2 linked regions of the Medicago truncatula genome follow. The protein of the gene in region 2 binds, or shares a complex with, the protein of the main gene of each other region. Links are inferred from orthologs where the notes say so. Each region holds a gene or a part of one and is shown on either strand. Other genes may lie near its edges.

Region 1 (8,311 bases), on a different chromosome or scaffold from region 2:
AGTCTTTACACTTACTCCTGGAGTCAACGGATCCCTTCTATATATATATATATATATATATAGGACATATACTGTGAGAATGACTACTTTATATGAGAATGATGAGAATGATTATCAACTATTAGATCAAAAATAAATGGTGATGGCATATATGTGACTTTTTAATCACAACCATTTATTTTTGATCTAATGGTTGATAATCATTCTCATCATTCTCATATAAAGTACTCATTCTCATAGTATATGTCCTATATATATATTCACCTACTCATTCACGAAGACTAATGGATTCTGTGATCAGAACAATCAGTAGCATGTGATGCTTAATAAGTTAAATGTACATTGGGTGAAGGAACAAGAAGACAGGATTCAAGCATGTGATCGCATTTGTACTTTAGCAGCAATACACTGCTTAAAAAAATCCAAAAGAAAAAGTCGTAGAATCACCTTGGCTCTTTTAAACAAATCCCTTATACGTGCAGAACCAACACCAACTAAAAATTCCACAAATTCTGATCCAGCCATTTGGTAAAATGGAACACCAGCTTCACCAGCTATAGCTTTGGCTACCAAGGTCTGCAAAAGCATGACAAAAACATATCACAGATAACACAAATTCTAACATCCAACATAACTGCGGAATAGCAATCTGACCTTGCCACATCCAGGTGGGCCCTCCAGAAGAACACCATGTGGGGGTTTGATCCCCATTTTATCAAATAGCTCGGGATTTTTTAGGTATTTCACCAACTAAAGAGAACAATACATAACCTTCATAAGTTTTCACCCACTACAATAAACAGTAAGCAGAGACTACGAATACGAGGCATAAAACAGAAATAAAATAAAGGTGGAAAATTCCAGGAAATAATAACTATTGAGAGGGATAAAGTTAAATTATCCAACTTGACCAATAAAAAAAGTTAAATTATTCAAAATGATTGTATAAAATCGTTAAAAAGTTAATATAAGTTATGGCTTCTTCAATGTTTTCTTTATGAAGTGTCATGGACTGTTCATAATTGTCTGCAGCCACGCATCAAGTTGAAACTTTCATATTTGTGAGCTGCTGAATCAGCCAGAAAGCAAAAGTAAAATGAGATGTTTTGATGGTCTAGTAGAGTTGCATAAAATAATGGGCTGGGACTATACGAGCAATTGCCTGCAGCCCAAGCCTCTATTATGAATGAACTGGGGAGGGAGGGGGAGTGGACAATGGACCCTAAGCTGTCATTAAATTTACACCGACAATGCATCTCCAATAAACTCGTATATAAATTTATTTAAAAAGGTTTTTAAATGTGGGGAGACCAGCATCTCTCGAATCTCTCTCCACCCATGTATCCATACCTCTTGAAGTTCATCTACAGCATCATCGATTCCAGCCACGTCAGAAAACTTTATTCCAGTTGAACCCTGAAAGAATGTTTTTCCAAATCCAGAAACTAAGAATGACATTAAAAGACTAGAAAAATAAAAAATGAAAAGACTTTAAAAATGGAGAGATTAATGTAAAGATAGGCATTAACAAACATCAACACGAGCTTCAGCTTTTGATAATGAGAAGTTCATTCCCTGCCATAGATCCTGTATATTGAATTAAAATCTCTTAGAGTGTACACCAAATCCATTGAACAAAATTGGCTCAAAAATTCATGCGTAACTTTATGAGTGAATCACTTAGTTAAATCACCTACCCACTTCCTGAAGTTTTTGGGTTTTCTTGAAAGAGTGAAGCGAACAAGAAGGACCATACCCACAACTATAGGCAGGGTCACTTTCAGGACATCGAGGGTGGAAGCTAAACCACCAACAGTCAACAAATTATAAGTCTTAGCCAACAAGCCACCGTCCATGAAAAAGTCAAGAAGTCTATCCCAAAACCTCTCCAGCATTGAAACAGCAACTCCAAGGGAAAACTTAAGAATTGGTTTGGCTATAGGCCATCCAACATAGACGGTTGTCACAAATATAAAACTGGTGACAACAAATACTGCTGCTGAAAGGAAGCCACCAACTAGAAGTGCTGCTAAACCCACTACGACTGTCACCGCTCCAAGCTCGGCCACCACTCTGCTAGATATGGAAGCTGCAGCTGGATGAGGGGACACTGACATTTTCCCCACCCAAGACTGCAACAATATAATTTCAGAGTTAAAAGAGCAATTGCAATACGTTCACCTACAAAAGGATTTTATCCATTTATTCAGTACGCTGAATGACTTAAGCTATGAGTCTCTAACTACAAACTATGCAAGAAAATGTATAGTAACTTAAATTTATTTGGCTTGAGAAAATGCTTTCTATTTTTATTTTTTATTTCAACAATACAACTCCTTTTTAAGTCTATTTCCAATTTTCAACTATATGTATGGGGAAGCTTATTTTGAGCTTATGAAAAATAGCTTATGTAAATAAATAAGCTTTTATTTTAATTTATAACCTCTCATTAACGAAAATTGTATCTTCATTAACGGTTTTTTCATAAACTACCTTAAAAACTTATAAATAATACATAAAAACTTATTTATTTGCATAAGCTGTTTTATATAAGCTCTAAAATAAGTTAATCCAAACGGGCCCTAAGTCTGTTTTGTAATTAAAACTGAAAATATGAAATTAAAACAGAACATTTTCCTAAGCCGCATACCCTTGGAAAAATTAAATGAAACTTAAAAACAGCAAAAATAATTGATTTTCCCCTGTTAGCACCAACAATGTCAATGCCTCGTAAATTAATTTTTAAGTATTACAAATAAATAGATCAACAACCGTGATTCGACGACTCTCTATCTCATATCGTGGTCCAGAATATTCCTCCAAAATTGCTCGAGCTTCACTGCTATCCACCCTTAGAACCCTACAGAATTCCACACACACACACAATCTATCACAACACCACAATGCACACAGAACAAAGTCTATAAAAACCACATAGGATATAATCAAACAAAAACATCAACTTTCATTTTTCTTTTACCATTTCGTCGCCTGCAATCTTTTATCACCTGGAATTTCCTTCAAATCCACAATATAATCCCTATAACCATATCCATAATCTTCCTTAGAAGTTACCAACTTAATCTTATCTTTACTCAAAGCTTTAGTAAAATCCTCAACGCTCATTTTGGGTAAAGTTTTCAAATTCTCATTAAACTCTTCCTCCTCGGACAACGGTGTACCGAAAATCTGTTCAGGAACATAGAGTTTCCCTTTATACTCTTTAAGCAAATCATTCAAATACACAGAATCATCTCTCTCTTCATAAAGCTCACCACTTTTCCTCTGAGAATTATTCTTCAATCTCTTCAACAACAAATCAAAAAGACCCTCATTTGATTTTTGACCTAAATTGTCTTTTTGTTGTGAAGTATATAACTTGTTACCGATTAGATATTTAGGTGGGACTTGGCTTGGATTTTCTTCTAAAACTCGTTTGACGAAATCATCGGCATCGGAATTGGAAGAGGATTTGCAGAAAACTGTGAATGGTTTACGAATAAGAAATTGCGTTTTTCTGTTGTGATTGGAATGAAGAGTTTTATGGTGGTGAGTGTGAATGTGATAGGAATTGTTGCTGGGGTAGCAGAAAATGTTCATAGCGTTATGGTGAATTCATATATGAATGTGACACTGAAAGAGTTTATCGAATTAGGGTTTTGAGAATGATGAACAATGCAAATGCGCGAAGAAGAAGAAGAAGAAGAAGATGAAGAAATTGCAAAATGGTTTCATTTCCCACCCAATCCGATAAACCTCATCTCAGATGGTTTTTCTAACCGGGTCGGGTAAGATGATTGTATGCCCCATTTTGTGTGTGAAGAGAGAATGAAACATTAAATAAAGAAATTGTTTTTTTGGACATCGAATACTTCTTATTGACACAAATAATTTATTAAAAAACCCCAGCGGTAGTAATTATCGTTGGAAAAACTGTCGGTTATTAACTGTCGTTGCATTCTGTAAGTTAAGAATGCAGAAACTGTCGTTTCTGGTTTACAAAAACGAATGCAAACATTTCCAAATTTAATCAAAATTCACCCAATCCTTCATTTGGAGGAAAATCATCCAATTTGCCTCAAATAAATCACCCAAACCTTTCTTCCTATTTACATGCAATGTAGGTTATTTAGGGTGTTATTTTCATAATTTTAGCAAAATGTTTAGGGTTAGGTTATGTTTAAAAATTGCAAATTATGATAGAATTAGATGTTGTAAGTGATTGTTTATGTTTGCATTGTTGTTTATAGTAGGTTTAGGTACAACGTAGTTGAATTTTTGATGTTGAATTAACACTAATTGTGCTAGTATTTTGAAATGCACATAAGGTGTTTGATGAAATGCCTAAGTAAAATAATCTTGCTTTTTTTGTGATTTTTTTTCCAAATATGTTAAATCTTATAATGTATATATGTTATAATTATTAGGCTTATTAGATCGTTTGATCCCTTATTTAATTTCATGTTTTCATTTTGGTCTCACAATTAATAAAAATGGCGTTTTGATCCCTCATATTTTCCTCCGTTTGCCAAATAATTCCCGACTGTTAACTTTAACTTCAAATGTCTTTGGTGGACCAACCTTAAAAGTGGTCCATCGTAGACCTTATTAATTTTGTTAATTTTAACCATTCGATCTATTTATCATAAAAGGAACCGTTAGATTTTCACATGTGAATGGACTGTTTTGTCCTCAATGAGACCAAACACATGTGTAACTACCAATTTACCCCTTTCTTCTTCATGTCCAAAACTGAACTTCCATCTTTCTCTTCTTCTTCTTCGCAAAACAGAAATTAGAACAACAAATAACAACAACATTCAACAGTAACATAACAACAACATTCAACATAAAAATAAAAAAAATAAAACTAATTTCCCAAACTCCTCCACATTCCAGACTCAAATTCGTCATCACCTCCGTTCACATATCATCAAGAACCTTCTCAGAAGCAATTTCAGAAAACACTTTATCACAATTCATAGCAACAGTTTCCAACAAATCAAGACTATGTTTCTGAACAACAGGACTCTTATGATTAATCTTTCTCTTAATAACTTTCACAATTTCTGAACCGTTAAACTCTTTCGCGTTAATAAGACCACAAATTCTGAGATTCATGCCCCAATTTGTTCCGATAAAGTTTCCGATGTTGCTTCGTCGACCATTTTGGATTCAGGTGTTGGTGTTTGGAGAATTTCTTTCAATTTGCATGTCTATATTGGGCTGTTTAACAACTTTGTTTATGTGGTTGGTAGTGGAAAGATTAAAAACGATGAAGATTAACAACTTTGTTGATTTTTTTCAATCTTCACTCACCATTCAACTTACTTCACTCAAAACTTCTTCGATGTTAAATTCTTTTGTAGATCTGGTTTTTTTAGGGGGAGAGAGAGCGGTGCAGATGGTGTTGCCGGAGCGACGCGGAGGAGGGTGGTGTTACTATTGTTGGATTTGGATTTCAATTCGAATTTTGTTGTTGTTGTTGTTATTGTTGCCTTTGGGTTTTGATGAAGATTTCCAGATTTGATTTGAATTTATGGGTTTGGAAAAAAAAACATTTAGTGTTGAATGGGTTGTTATGTTTATAGGAAAAGAGAAGAGAAAGAATACAAAGAAGGGATCAAAGAGAGAAGAGAAGGATGCAGAATTTTTTTAAAGAAATTCTATCGATTTTTTTTTAAAAGAAATTGAGATTTTTGGGATTTCTGTTTTTTTTCCCCCCGGGAATGTTGATGAAGATGATGATGGTATTGATGAATGTGATGATGAAGAAGTGTGGGGAAGAAGAAGAAAGAGAAAATTAATTAGATGTTATTGACTCACCGTAAAATCACATAGACCTGCCTAATTCAATGGTTCTCTTTTTTTTGAAAAAATCAAACGGTTGAAATTAAAGTAATTAATAGGATCTATGGTGGACCACTTTTAAGGTTGGTCCACCAAAGACATCATTTGGGGTTAAAATTAACAGTCGGATTTATTTGGCAAACGGAGACAAACGTGGGGGATCAAAACGCCACTTTTATTAATTGTGGGACCAAAATGAAAACATGAAATTAAATAAGGGACCAAACGATCTAATAAGCCTAATTATTATAAGGTCGGATTTTGACATTTTTTTGCAAGTTTAAGAATGACATAATTTTATACGATACGTAATTTTTTTTTATGAAATGCCCAAGTTGAATGATTCTAAGTTTGAATTTTTATGAATGTCTAAGTAAAATTTGTGACATGTTACATGTTACTTGTCTTAGGTTCAATAGCTTGGATTTTTATGATATAATGTTTGGATAATTTTTATGATATAATGTTACATGTTACATAATATTTGAATTTTTATGTCTTCTTTTAATTTGTTTTTGTACAGATATGGCTAATAAGGAGGATGCGCGGGAGCGGCGTATTAGAGAGGGTAGGGTGCGCAAAGGTAAACCTGCTATGACAAATAGCGTTCGAAAGGAGATGGAGGTTGAACACCCGTGTGTTCCAAAGACCCGGAGACGTAGGGACTTGAGGATAGGTGGAGGAGATGGGTCGGGTTCACATTCACAGATGGATTACTCCTCCCAGGTGGTTGATCCGACATCGGCACATGATAAGGCTGTGTATGAGGAGGGTTTTGTTGGATATGATCGGATGGAGGAGGATATAATGTTTTACCCGCCGCAGGACGAGGCAGAGGATGAGGAGGTGCCAGATGATGTTGTGGCGGATTATCTTGAGGCAGAGAATATTATTCTTGAGGGTGAGCCTGAGCCTCAGACTCAGCGACGACGTCGTCGTATTCCGCCCATACCGCCATATCTTGTTGGAGGGCCTCCCTTTCCTTGAGGACCTGAGACCACATCACTATTGTCCAACTACGCGAGGCACATGGCGAACCCTCTTTGGGTGAACCATCATAATGTAAGTGTTTAAATTGTTTAAAATTCTTTAAATGCTTTAAAGTGATTATTTAAAAGAATGTAGCGTACATGTTTTAATTATTTATTATTATGTAGCGTAAGTGTTTTAATTATTTAAAAGAATGTAGCGTTAGTGTTTATATAATATTATGTAGCGTAAGTGTTTTAATTATTTAAAAGAATGCAGCGTTGGTGTATTAATTATATAATATTATGTAGCATTAGTGTTTTAATTATATAATATTATGTAGCGTAAGTGTTTTAATTATTTAAAAGAATGTAGCGTTAGTGTTTTAATTATATAATATTATGTAGCGTAAGTGTTTTAATTATATAAAATAGTGACAATGTCTTAATTAATTTGAATTTCAGATGTGGCATGATTAGACGGGTTACAAGTGTATAAATGCAAGGAAAAAGATGAAAGAGCTTGGTAAGCCGGAGGCGGGTTTGAGGTGGTTTTGGGAGCCTGTGGAGGGGTCTGGCTTACATGATTTGATATACACGGGATATTCTAGTGTCACCCATGCCATGATACGTGCTATGTGCGAGAGGTGGCACATGGAGACCAGTAGTTTTCATCTACCTGTGGGGGAGATGACGATCACTTTGGATGATGTGCATAATCTCCTACACATTCATATTCACGGCCGCATGTTGGACCACGACGAGGCAATGGATCGGGACCGTGCGATTGATTTGATGATCAGGTTGTTGGGCATGTCAGATGCTGATGCTAGGGCTGAGGTTAGGACTGAGTCTGCTGGTCATATTAGTTATCCCACGGCTGGAGGAGCCACAGACGAGGGAGGAGCATCATGAGAGAGGCAGGAGGAGGGTGTGGTGTGTGAGGGGTTTCCTTCTATATCTCGTCGGTTGCGCGTTGTTCACTAACAAAACGAACAGACACATCGACTTGATATATCTTGATTGTATGGCGAACTTGCAGGCGATTGGGAAGTGATCATGGAGAGGGATGACCTTAGCTTACCTGTACGACTATCTGGATGATTCTGTTATTCTGAATAACAGAACGATGGTTGTGAGTACCACTCTTTTTATGATAATAATTTGATATTTATCTATATTTCTTTATGAATTTATTTTATAATTTTTATTATCATGTTAGATTATTTTTTCCTAAGTTAGACTACATTTATTTAGGATTTAATTTAAATATTTATGTGAAGCTTTTATAATGTATTTTATTTATTTGTTACATGGATGGATTTTGAAGCATTTGCCAGGTCCGTACCCAAGGAAGAAAAACAAGAGCTGGAAGCCAGAGAGACCATGTGTTGGGAAATGACTTACTAGCAGAGGGCATACAGATATGCACCATTATCGCTTACTGCTTGATCGCTTAGAGGTGGATGATGTCAGGTTTTCTACTTATGGTG
Region 2 (8,973 bases):
GCAGAACAGCTACAAGTCTTACAGTTTTTCCTAGATGAATAGTAAACAGTACTAAAACAGAAAATAATTAATTGCAAAATTTTAACCTTCATGTGCTCAAAAGCTGTTTTTATAGGATCAACACCCTCCCTTCTCCTATCCCTCATACGTCCCTTTCTTTCATCAAAGTAATAAGCCTGAAAAACAGCAATGAAAATTATAATTATAATGCCTAACTATAAGTTGCACCATGGTCTCTGTCGTAAGATCTATGTATTTATTTATCTATCTGTCCATCTGTCTACCTATCTATCTATGTAGAGAGAGAGAACTAACAAACTATATACATCATTCAACCTAAAACAACAAAGAGATGCAGATATATAAAAGCAGAAGTTACAAACTACACTTTTAGCTCCACCCTTCAAAAAAAAAGGAAATTTGATATCATGAGGTTGAGCGTATGCTAACTGCAAGAGCAAACTTATACCATTTGCTCAAGTTTCCTCCTATTCGGATTTTTTTGGATAGGACCATAACCAAGAAGTCTTGGAATTTTTCTCCTCATAAATTGGAACACGTTAATCAAAACAAATCCTGAAATAGCAGCTCTTGCGATAAACAACATGATCCATCGAAAATCACCATCTGCTCGTCTGGATTGAACTCTTGCTTCTGCATTTAATTGCCAGTTCAAGTACCATGGAGTGTTCATTGTCTCTTCCTCTGGCCAAGCCATTCCCAATTTTACCCTCACCTGTATCATAAATAATACAACAAATGTTTCAAAAACTTATTATTCCAAACCAATAACCTGAATTAGCACATGGCGAGTTTTGGGCTCAAGGATACCGGGTTAGGGAGTATATATTCCACAATAGGAAACCCTATCACTGTCATTATGTCATCAGTCATTTCCTTAATATTGTCAAAGATCAAATTTGTTGTAGTCAAGACAGTTTCGGAATTCCACCGGCCACTCAAAAATCGAAGAGGGAACCTTAATATCACAGAAATCCGTTGGTGCACACTTAACTCTGACAACGGAATCCACATTAGATGAACAGCTGTTGGAATACCACAGGCTAGCATTTTCCTATATAGCACATCAAAACCCCCAATATATTCAAAAAGCCTTTCGAATTCCTGAAATATGAAAGCAAACAAATAATCACCATACAAGAAATTTAAAATAAATAAGAAATAGAAGAATATACACAGATGCATACACAGTTATACCTTTATGTCTACATAAAACTCTTTGTCCTCCCCCTTCAATGCAATATACATTGCACGCCCATCATACCTAATCCGAACATGCTCTATTAGCTTTTTTGAGACAGCATGAGGAACAGCCACTGGATCCATCTCCCATCTATTTTTCTCTTCATTGTACCAAGTCTTTGACACTACCCTATCTCGGTCCAAAAGAATCCTTTCCTGCAATGGATAAGTAGTGAGTAGTGAAAGGAACGCACTAATGCCTTCCGATGTGCAGAAAAACATATGTTAAAAATAATATATCCACCATCAACACCTCAACATTGATGGGCAGAAAAAAAAACATGAGAATCAAATATAATATATATGATATTTAACTAACAAGACAAAGATTATTATGCCTTCAAAAAAAGACAGATTATTATTAATGAATATCAAAGGGAACGAATTGCAATTTGCATCACAACTTGACCTGTCTAATCACCATTCTACTTAGTAAGCAGCATATAAGACATTTTTGTTTCTCGAATTCCAAAGAATTGTTCATAGAAAATACAAATAAGTAAACCCTTAATCACCTCTTCTTCAGGTGAGTACACAACACTACGCTTTTCCTTGTCATACTGCATATCTTTCCTTATCTGGGCCTCTAAATTCTTCTGCTGCTCCCTTGAGTCTTTGAGACTTCTTTCTAAATGTTGGGCAAAATCAACAGAGTCTTGATGAAAGAATGGCCCGAGATCATCAACATCCACAATGCTAGGAAGAATAGTTTGCTCTATTTGCTTTCTTTGCACAGTTTCCAAGTCTTCTTGAATGACGGATTTTGATAGCTTGTTAACTGAGCTTGCGAATGAACTGCAACCACATGAAAAACGTTTGCATAATCACATACAGTTTCAACAGAGTTGTAGGAAAAACTAACTAGCATGACAAGACATTATGCAACGAACCAAGCTATTGCATCCAACATTGAAAACAAATTGTGTCGCTGTCAATCAAATCGATTAAGATAACAACAGTTTTATACGATCTTAATTCTAAGATATTCCAATTCAAACACAATTTCAAGATATAAGATTCAGTCCCAGTCAAGATGTAAAGTCAACTTCTCTCTACAAGACTTCAACTAAGCACTTCGGCCAAGTAAATAAACAACGGTAACAAGATACTACAAATATTCCAAAATTATTAAATAGTAGAGAAGTCACTGCCTAAAAAACCTAAAATCCATTCTTAATTTAACTTTTTTTTCCTTCTGAAAACTCGGTATCTGGTCCAAGGACCGAGTAATCCAGGAGACCCATTTCACCATCCACTGGCTCGGGCCAAATTGAAGCCAGAGCAAAACCTATATGGACTGGCCCAACTCAATAAATGTTAGCACCTAGAGAAGAGCACACTCTTTATGTCCCAAGTCATATACCACCAGGCCACTCCCTTAACTTAACTATTTATCAAATAAAACCTCCATATCCATATAATTACACATAGAAAACTACAAGTAATAATGAATACAAACACACATGACATGTGATTAGTGTTAAAAATGAATGCATTATCAAGCTATCGAATCATAGAATTCAACCTTCCGATTTTCTTCTGTTTGATTTCTTGTTTAAATCTCTCCACCAAGTTCTCACATTCCCTCTGGATAAAACAAATCTCCAACACCCCATAACTCAACGCCACCGTCTCTTTCCTCGAAATGACATCCTCCATTTCATCAATTTTCACTAAAATCTCATTCCATTTCTTCTCCAACTCCACCATTCTCTTGTCCAACACCTTCTTCTCCACCTCATTCACTACATTATCCTTCATATCCATCTCCCAGCCCATCAATTTTCTATGCTCCCTGTTCACTTCCGCCATCTGCCAACTAATCTCACCTTCCTTTATCTGCAACAACCTCAACTCCTCCTTCAAATCCATCAAAACCGGATGCATCCTCTCGAGAATCTCTTTCTCCATTTCATATTTCTTCAATTTCACAAACTCCAAAGCTCGTTTCACATCTTCAAAATCACCGTTCCCTTTCCTAACCTCTTCAATAGTCCTCAACAAACTCGGCACAGTATCCAACACTTTTTGCGTGCAATCAGAATACTCGTGTTGATTCTTGTTCTCTTTGTTCTTACTCAAAAATTGAACCCAAGGTATCGTCGGAAGTGCAAACGCGGGCGCAATTTGGAATGTTCCGAAGGTGGAAACACCGACGGCGAAACAGAATAAAGCGCGAAGAATGAGTTGTTTTGTTAAGCAGCATTGGGATAAAACAAGAGTTGAGTTTGTTGGTTGGGATAAAACGGTGTGGTTGTTTTGTTGATTTGCGGAGAGAGTGATGGAAGCGCGTGGTGGTTTGAAGAGGAGTGTATGATTTGGAAGGGGGCGGAAAGAGGTGAAAGGAAGGTGTGATGGAAATCGAAGAGGTGGTGAAGAAGAAGAATAGAGAATGGAATCCATGAATCAGTTTAGATATACATTGAATTTGAGTTTGAGTAGCAGCGTTATCCTGAGATTTTTGAACGAAAGGGGTTTTAGGGAAGAACACCAGAGAAGAGAGACTGACTATTATCATCTAACATCATTTAAATTAGATTTTTATAACCGATTAATTTTAAGTTTTTTTTAGATATTAGTCTAAATTTTTTTAAGGGTTAATTAAATTTTTGGTCCCTATAAATATCTGCAGTTTTGTTTTTAATCCTTATAAAAATAAATCACACTTTTTAGTCCCTACAAAATTTTCCGTTAATGTTTTTAGTCCATGTTAAATTAAAATTTGTTTAATTATGCTTAAAATTTTAAATTTTTTAATGATTTTTTACATACTTGTTTAAAACATTATAAAAGGTTCCGCCAAAATAAATTAACTCAAAATTTTATTTTTAGGTCCAAATTTTCGTTAGTTTTATCTTGAATTTTTGGCGTTTTAAAAAAATTATATGTAATTCATTACATGTTAAAAAATTCTAATTTTTTATAAAAGAGATTATTATAATGTTCTTAACATGTATGTTAAAAATCATTTAAAAATATAAAATTTTAAGCATAATTAAACAAATTTTAATTTAACAGGGACTAAAAACACTAATGGAAAATTTTATAGGTACTAAAAAGTGTGATTTATTTTTATAAGGACTAAAAACAAAACTGCAGATATTTATAGGGACCAAAAACTTAATTAACCCTAGAATATTTACACCATTATTAATTTTTTCAATTCACTTCGTTATAAAGTACTTATAAATTGTTTTACATTAAATTGATAAGTCTAAAAGTATTTATGATATCAAACATGATTACTTAGCCACGTATTATTCTTCTTTTTTATTTTGTTTTTTGACAAATTCTTCTTCTTGTTTTTTAATTGGGTTAAATAAGTTTTTTATCCCTATAAATATAGTAAAATTTATTTTTGCTCCTCGTAAAAAAAGGGCATGTTTTGATCCATATAAAAAAATTCAACGCATACTTTTAGTCCTTGTAAAATTAAAATTTATTTGATTGTGTTTGAATTTTTAAATTTTTGAATGATTTTTAACATGCTTATTTATAACATTATATAGAGTTCTCTGCAAAAAAAATATTAGCTCAAAATTTGATTTTAGGTCCAAATTTTCATTACTTTCATTTTAAATTTTTTACATTTGAAAAAACTCATGTTTAATTTATTACATGTTAAAAAAATATGATTTTTTCATAAACAAAGTATCTTATAATGATTTCAACGTGTCTATACAAAATTATTCAAAAAATTATAAGTTTAATCAATAAATTTTTATTTAACAGAACAAAAATTTTGTGCTGGAAATTTTCATAGGGATCAAAATATGTTATTTTTTTATAAGGACTAAACACAAAATTTGCTATAAAATTTAATCCTTTTGAATTCAAGTTTAATTCTATGGATAAATATTTCATCAACGGTATTATAAATCAAGTGACCGATCAAATATTATTTCAAATCAAAACTAAATAATGCATGTACGAACCTTGTTATTGTGAGCGGTGAATTTGAAAATATAAACTTAACATTAAACATTTACATAAAAACTTTTTAACCGAGTTTGATAAAAATAGATTAATGATGTGAATATTTTATGATTTAAGCGATCAATCTGTAACAAAAAAAAACCTAGTCTTAAACGAGCGCAGACGTATTTGGCCAAAATTATTTCAGGTTGTGACTAAGAATTCACATTTTTAAGATTAATAATTGAGGTGTCTGGGATTTGAACTTCACACTTGCATGTATTATACAATATCCCTATTAATTGAGTTAAAACTTTTTCTTCTACTTGGTAAAATTAAAACATTGTTCCTTTTAGACTATAATTTTTTCTTCTTCTTTAATTTAATTGAGGTGTCTGATGTGTGATTTACGGTTTGAATTGAGAGTGGAATTTATGAATGTTTGAGATTAAATATTTTTGCCTTCGTAGTTTTGAGATAGATGCGAACCCTTCACATCATTATAATTTCAAATATTTATATGTTTAATCTTGATTTTAAATTCACTAAAAGATTAGGGGTTATCTCAAGGTTAAAGGTTTAGTCGCTGAGAGACTAGAATTACACAATCTAGAAAACTAATAGCAACATGAAGAATGAATTCAGCTTATAGAATCAGATTAATAGTGCAAAGTTAGTAACCAAGTCATACTCATCCCTGAAACATTTTTATTATAGTTGACTTTTATTCAAGTTTCGTTGTTGAAAAAAATTACAAACAACATACTCGTACCTTTTTCTTCAACTAAGTTCTAAAACTACAGTTCGACAGTACATCGCAATCCTTGAATTCGACACTCGGTCTTACCGTTTTAAGTTTACCACTTGCCCGATTTCGTACACTTGCGAAAATCGCTATCAATCACCATCATCAAATATTAAGGACATCAGATGTATGTTACTGATTTTATCCACACCATCGTAAAATACAACATCGTTAGATAGACTGGGCCATGAATGCATGAATACTAAAAGACCACATCAACATATATCATCAAATATTCATCATTGATTCGTCTTTATATCAACACATCTATAACACATTTTTATATCAACACATCCATAACACATCTTCGTATATCACAACTCTACATACACATTTCCAATTTCCACTTCTTACAATTATACATTATATTCACATCATTAAATAACCATCACAACCTGTCATTTACTAATTTACCAATTCAATTCATCATCTAATTTCTATTATCGAAATTGCTAAGTTTCTCTACTCATACTCACTCATTACCAATGAAAATTATTTCATTAAGTCCATCTTCCTATCATTTGAATACGTTACTGCATACTAAGGTTATTTCATCGACTATACTGAAACATGTTCTAAGTTTCATCCTCAAAACCTTTCTGACCATCATAATCCTTATTCCAATCTAACTTATTATCATTAATTCATCTTAAACAATTTCACCAGTTTAATTGTTCATTATGGTCGTACACACTTCTATCTATCTCTATCTTAGCCTTATTATTGTTTTAATAATGTTTTAGAGTCCATTGAAGGATTTATGTTGAAATTCCACAAAAACGCAATATGCCTCATTTGTAGTATTTTAATCACATCTCAAGTTGTAGATGTCTAAATGGAGTCAAACCAAAAACAAATAAAAGTTAACATTCATACCTACAATTTTCATGAAGACACCTAAACTAAATTAAGATCAGAAAAGGGTGGAAATAACCCATTAGTGGTTCATATATGAATAAACACCAATGATAATTCTATGTCAATAGAGATAGTTACATTAACAAATTGTTGGCACATGAAAGTGATTTGATAAAACTAACAAACCTTTAGGAATTATAGAGTCTAGTCTCTCCCAAACCAACTCGTATACATAATATATGATATCCTCCTTTTTCACTTTCAACCTATATTTATAATTCTGATTACCAACAACAGTTACAAGCGGTTACTACACAAAGAATATTTAATACTACTACTACTAATAATAATAATAATAATAACAATAATAAAATAAACTGTCAGTTCTAACTATAGTCCTCCAAAAAAATATTCACTTTGTCCTCAAGGTAAATGATTATAGAAGTCTCCACCATGGTCATATAATTCACAAATTTGGTTTAGGGGCAATTTGTGAGATCTAATCAATCAACCACTGGTTCAAAAAGGAGTTTCTTTGTCGTGTTTATGTTAACTTCTTTATTGGCTGAAACGTTTGCGAAGACGCTAATTTGATGGTCCCGATCTAATACGCAGGTTCATGAAGGCAATGCAATGGTGTTGTTGAATGCGACGCATTGGATTCAGAAGATAGGAATACAAAGTGTGACATTACTTATTGATTCAAAAATATCCATGTTAGAACTGGAAAAAATAATTTGAATATTAGATTTCTATCAATATCAAGTTGCAAGGAGACAAACAAATACGAAAACTCATTATTTAGCTAAAACGACAATTTCTTTTGCCAATCACCAAGTTTTTGACTATGTCTCTTCTTGTATTAACCATTGACTGAATAATGAAATGAGTTGATTTTGTCTGATTTGAAAAAACTTTAATATCAACTAGATTTTTTTTCTCGACAAATATATAAAATATATCTTTAATTAGACTAGTAGACCACACAACACTTTCTAAAAGTCAAGACACACGTACAAAAATAAATGACTTAAAAAACCGCGATCGTATCACAATTTGTTTTAAATCGTTAGATCTTACGTTATCGAACACACATGTTGTAACATCCCGATATTTTTAGATATTATTTATGGCCTTCAAAATATTTTTTTTATAGATTTATAATTTACTAATGATGCGTTAGGAGTGTAAGGAAACTCTTATAACTTTGGAGCCTATTTATTTTATTGGTGGAATATAATATTTTTACTCAATTTATACTACTAATAATTTGACCATGAGCTTCTCTATTATTTGCTCGGTCAGAGGACATGTTTCCCTCATTATTCACTCTTGTTAATTAGCTTAAGAGCATGTCTTGCTAAATATTAGGAATTCACACTTCACGTATCAAATACTTTCCATAATTATGCTATGAATAGTTCATAACTTGACTAATTAGTAATTAGGGTAGTTAGTGGCATTTACGGTTCCTCCATAACCATAACCCACATTTAGGATTGATTGAGTGGAGTATTATTCTCTTAAGTAGTTATTTTAGTCCATCTCAATTCATATTGCAAAATCCCTTATATGTTTCTCTAACTCTCGTAACCGTGCTACTTGTCAGTCTCACATCATCAAAATATTATAACTCATTTTCATGCCTCTTCATCCTAATTATTCATTATGTTGGTATGTGATGTACCTCACGTTTTCTTCTCTGGCCATGTAATTCAATCTCTCTCACTTTTCTCTTTAATTTCATGACCCTCTTTTGATATATCCCACACCATCCTCTTGATTTACCTTACGGCTCCAAACAAGATCCATGGCCATTAATTTTGTTCATGCTTATTCCTGTAACTATCATTCATCAAATAGTTTTTTCAAGTATAGTTGCTTCCGTTCCATGTTTCGTGTGACACAAAGGTAACCCCTTTCCAACCATTCCTATATATTCTTCCTATTTCTATTTTGTCTCTAATTTTAGGATTTATGTTTTTGAAGCTTTGAACTATTTCTCTTGCAAATTGTCTGTGAGGTTGTTGAGTTTCCACGTTTGAAAAACAAGTCTTAGAGGTAAGGGCTTTTTCCCCATACGTCCATACTAAGTACTAGGATTATGTTATGAATTAGAGGTAGAGATTCTT

The links.
Region 1: the proteins of probable inactive ATP-dependent zinc metalloprotease FTSHI 5, chloroplastic (region 2) and probable inactive ATP-dependent zinc metalloprotease FTSHI 1, chloroplastic are in contact, whole or in part, in a cryo-EM structure (PDB 8XKV), measured with the Arabidopsis thaliana proteins. The link is inferred for Medicago truncatula from reciprocal best matches to the Arabidopsis thaliana genes emb2458 and FtsHi1. Residues at the interface, in NP_187084.6 of Arabidopsis thaliana: Arg815, Gln902, Lys934, Glu938, Arg942, Pro943, Asp947, Arg948, Thr1148, Glu1149, Ser1150, Arg1151, Ser1152, Leu1154, Gln1198, Tyr1199, Trp1201, Asp1205, Pro1207, Ala1208, Val1209, Tyr1210, Tyr1211, Ala1212, Asn1214, Ala1215, Val1216, Ser1217, Ala1218, Leu1219; in NP_567691.1 of Arabidopsis thaliana: Ser497, Val500, Glu653, Leu656, Arg660, Leu678, Arg684, Gln692, Gly693, Arg696, Arg697, Gly731, Gln732, Leu763, Arg766, Val771, Ile772, Tyr773, Gly774, Ser775, Asp776, Thr777, Ser778, Lys779, Ala780, Val782, Leu785, Ser786, Ser789, Arg793.

Annotation. Positions count from the first base shown.
Region 1 is NC_053049.1:46,229,745-46,238,055, reverse strand, and holds the start of probable inactive ATP-dependent zinc metalloprotease FTSHI 1, chloroplastic, read right to left. Parts: upstream 3,814-8,311; 5' UTR 3,601-3,813; coding exon 2,981-3,600; intron 2,861-2,980; coding exon 2,773-2,860; intron 2,133-2,772; coding exon 1,698-2,132; intron 1,588-1,697; coding exon 1,534-1,587; intron 1,417-1,533; coding exon 1,351-1,416; intron 751-1,350; coding exon 655-750; intron 577-654; coding exon 448-576; intron 1-447. Other genes in the region: protein MAIN-LIKE 1-like, read left to right, coding at 7,332-7,733. UniProt on the Arabidopsis thaliana protein: Functions in chloroplast biogenesis and chloroplast division. Required for plastid development during embryogenesis. Might be involved in chaperone functions or play a structural role in the thylakoid FtsH complex.
Region 2 is NC_053042.1:39,649,739-39,658,711, reverse strand, and holds the start of probable inactive ATP-dependent zinc metalloprotease FTSHI 5, chloroplastic, read right to left. Parts: upstream 3,770-8,973; 5' UTR 3,667-3,769; coding exon 2,789-3,666; intron 2,059-2,788; coding exon 1,779-2,058; intron 1,420-1,778; coding exon 1,219-1,419; intron 1,126-1,218; coding exon 832-1,125; intron 737-831; coding exon 470-736; intron 177-469; coding exon 87-176; intron 1-86. UniProt on the Arabidopsis thaliana protein: Required for plastid development during embryogenesis. Might be involved in chaperone functions or play a structural role in the thylakoid FtsH complex.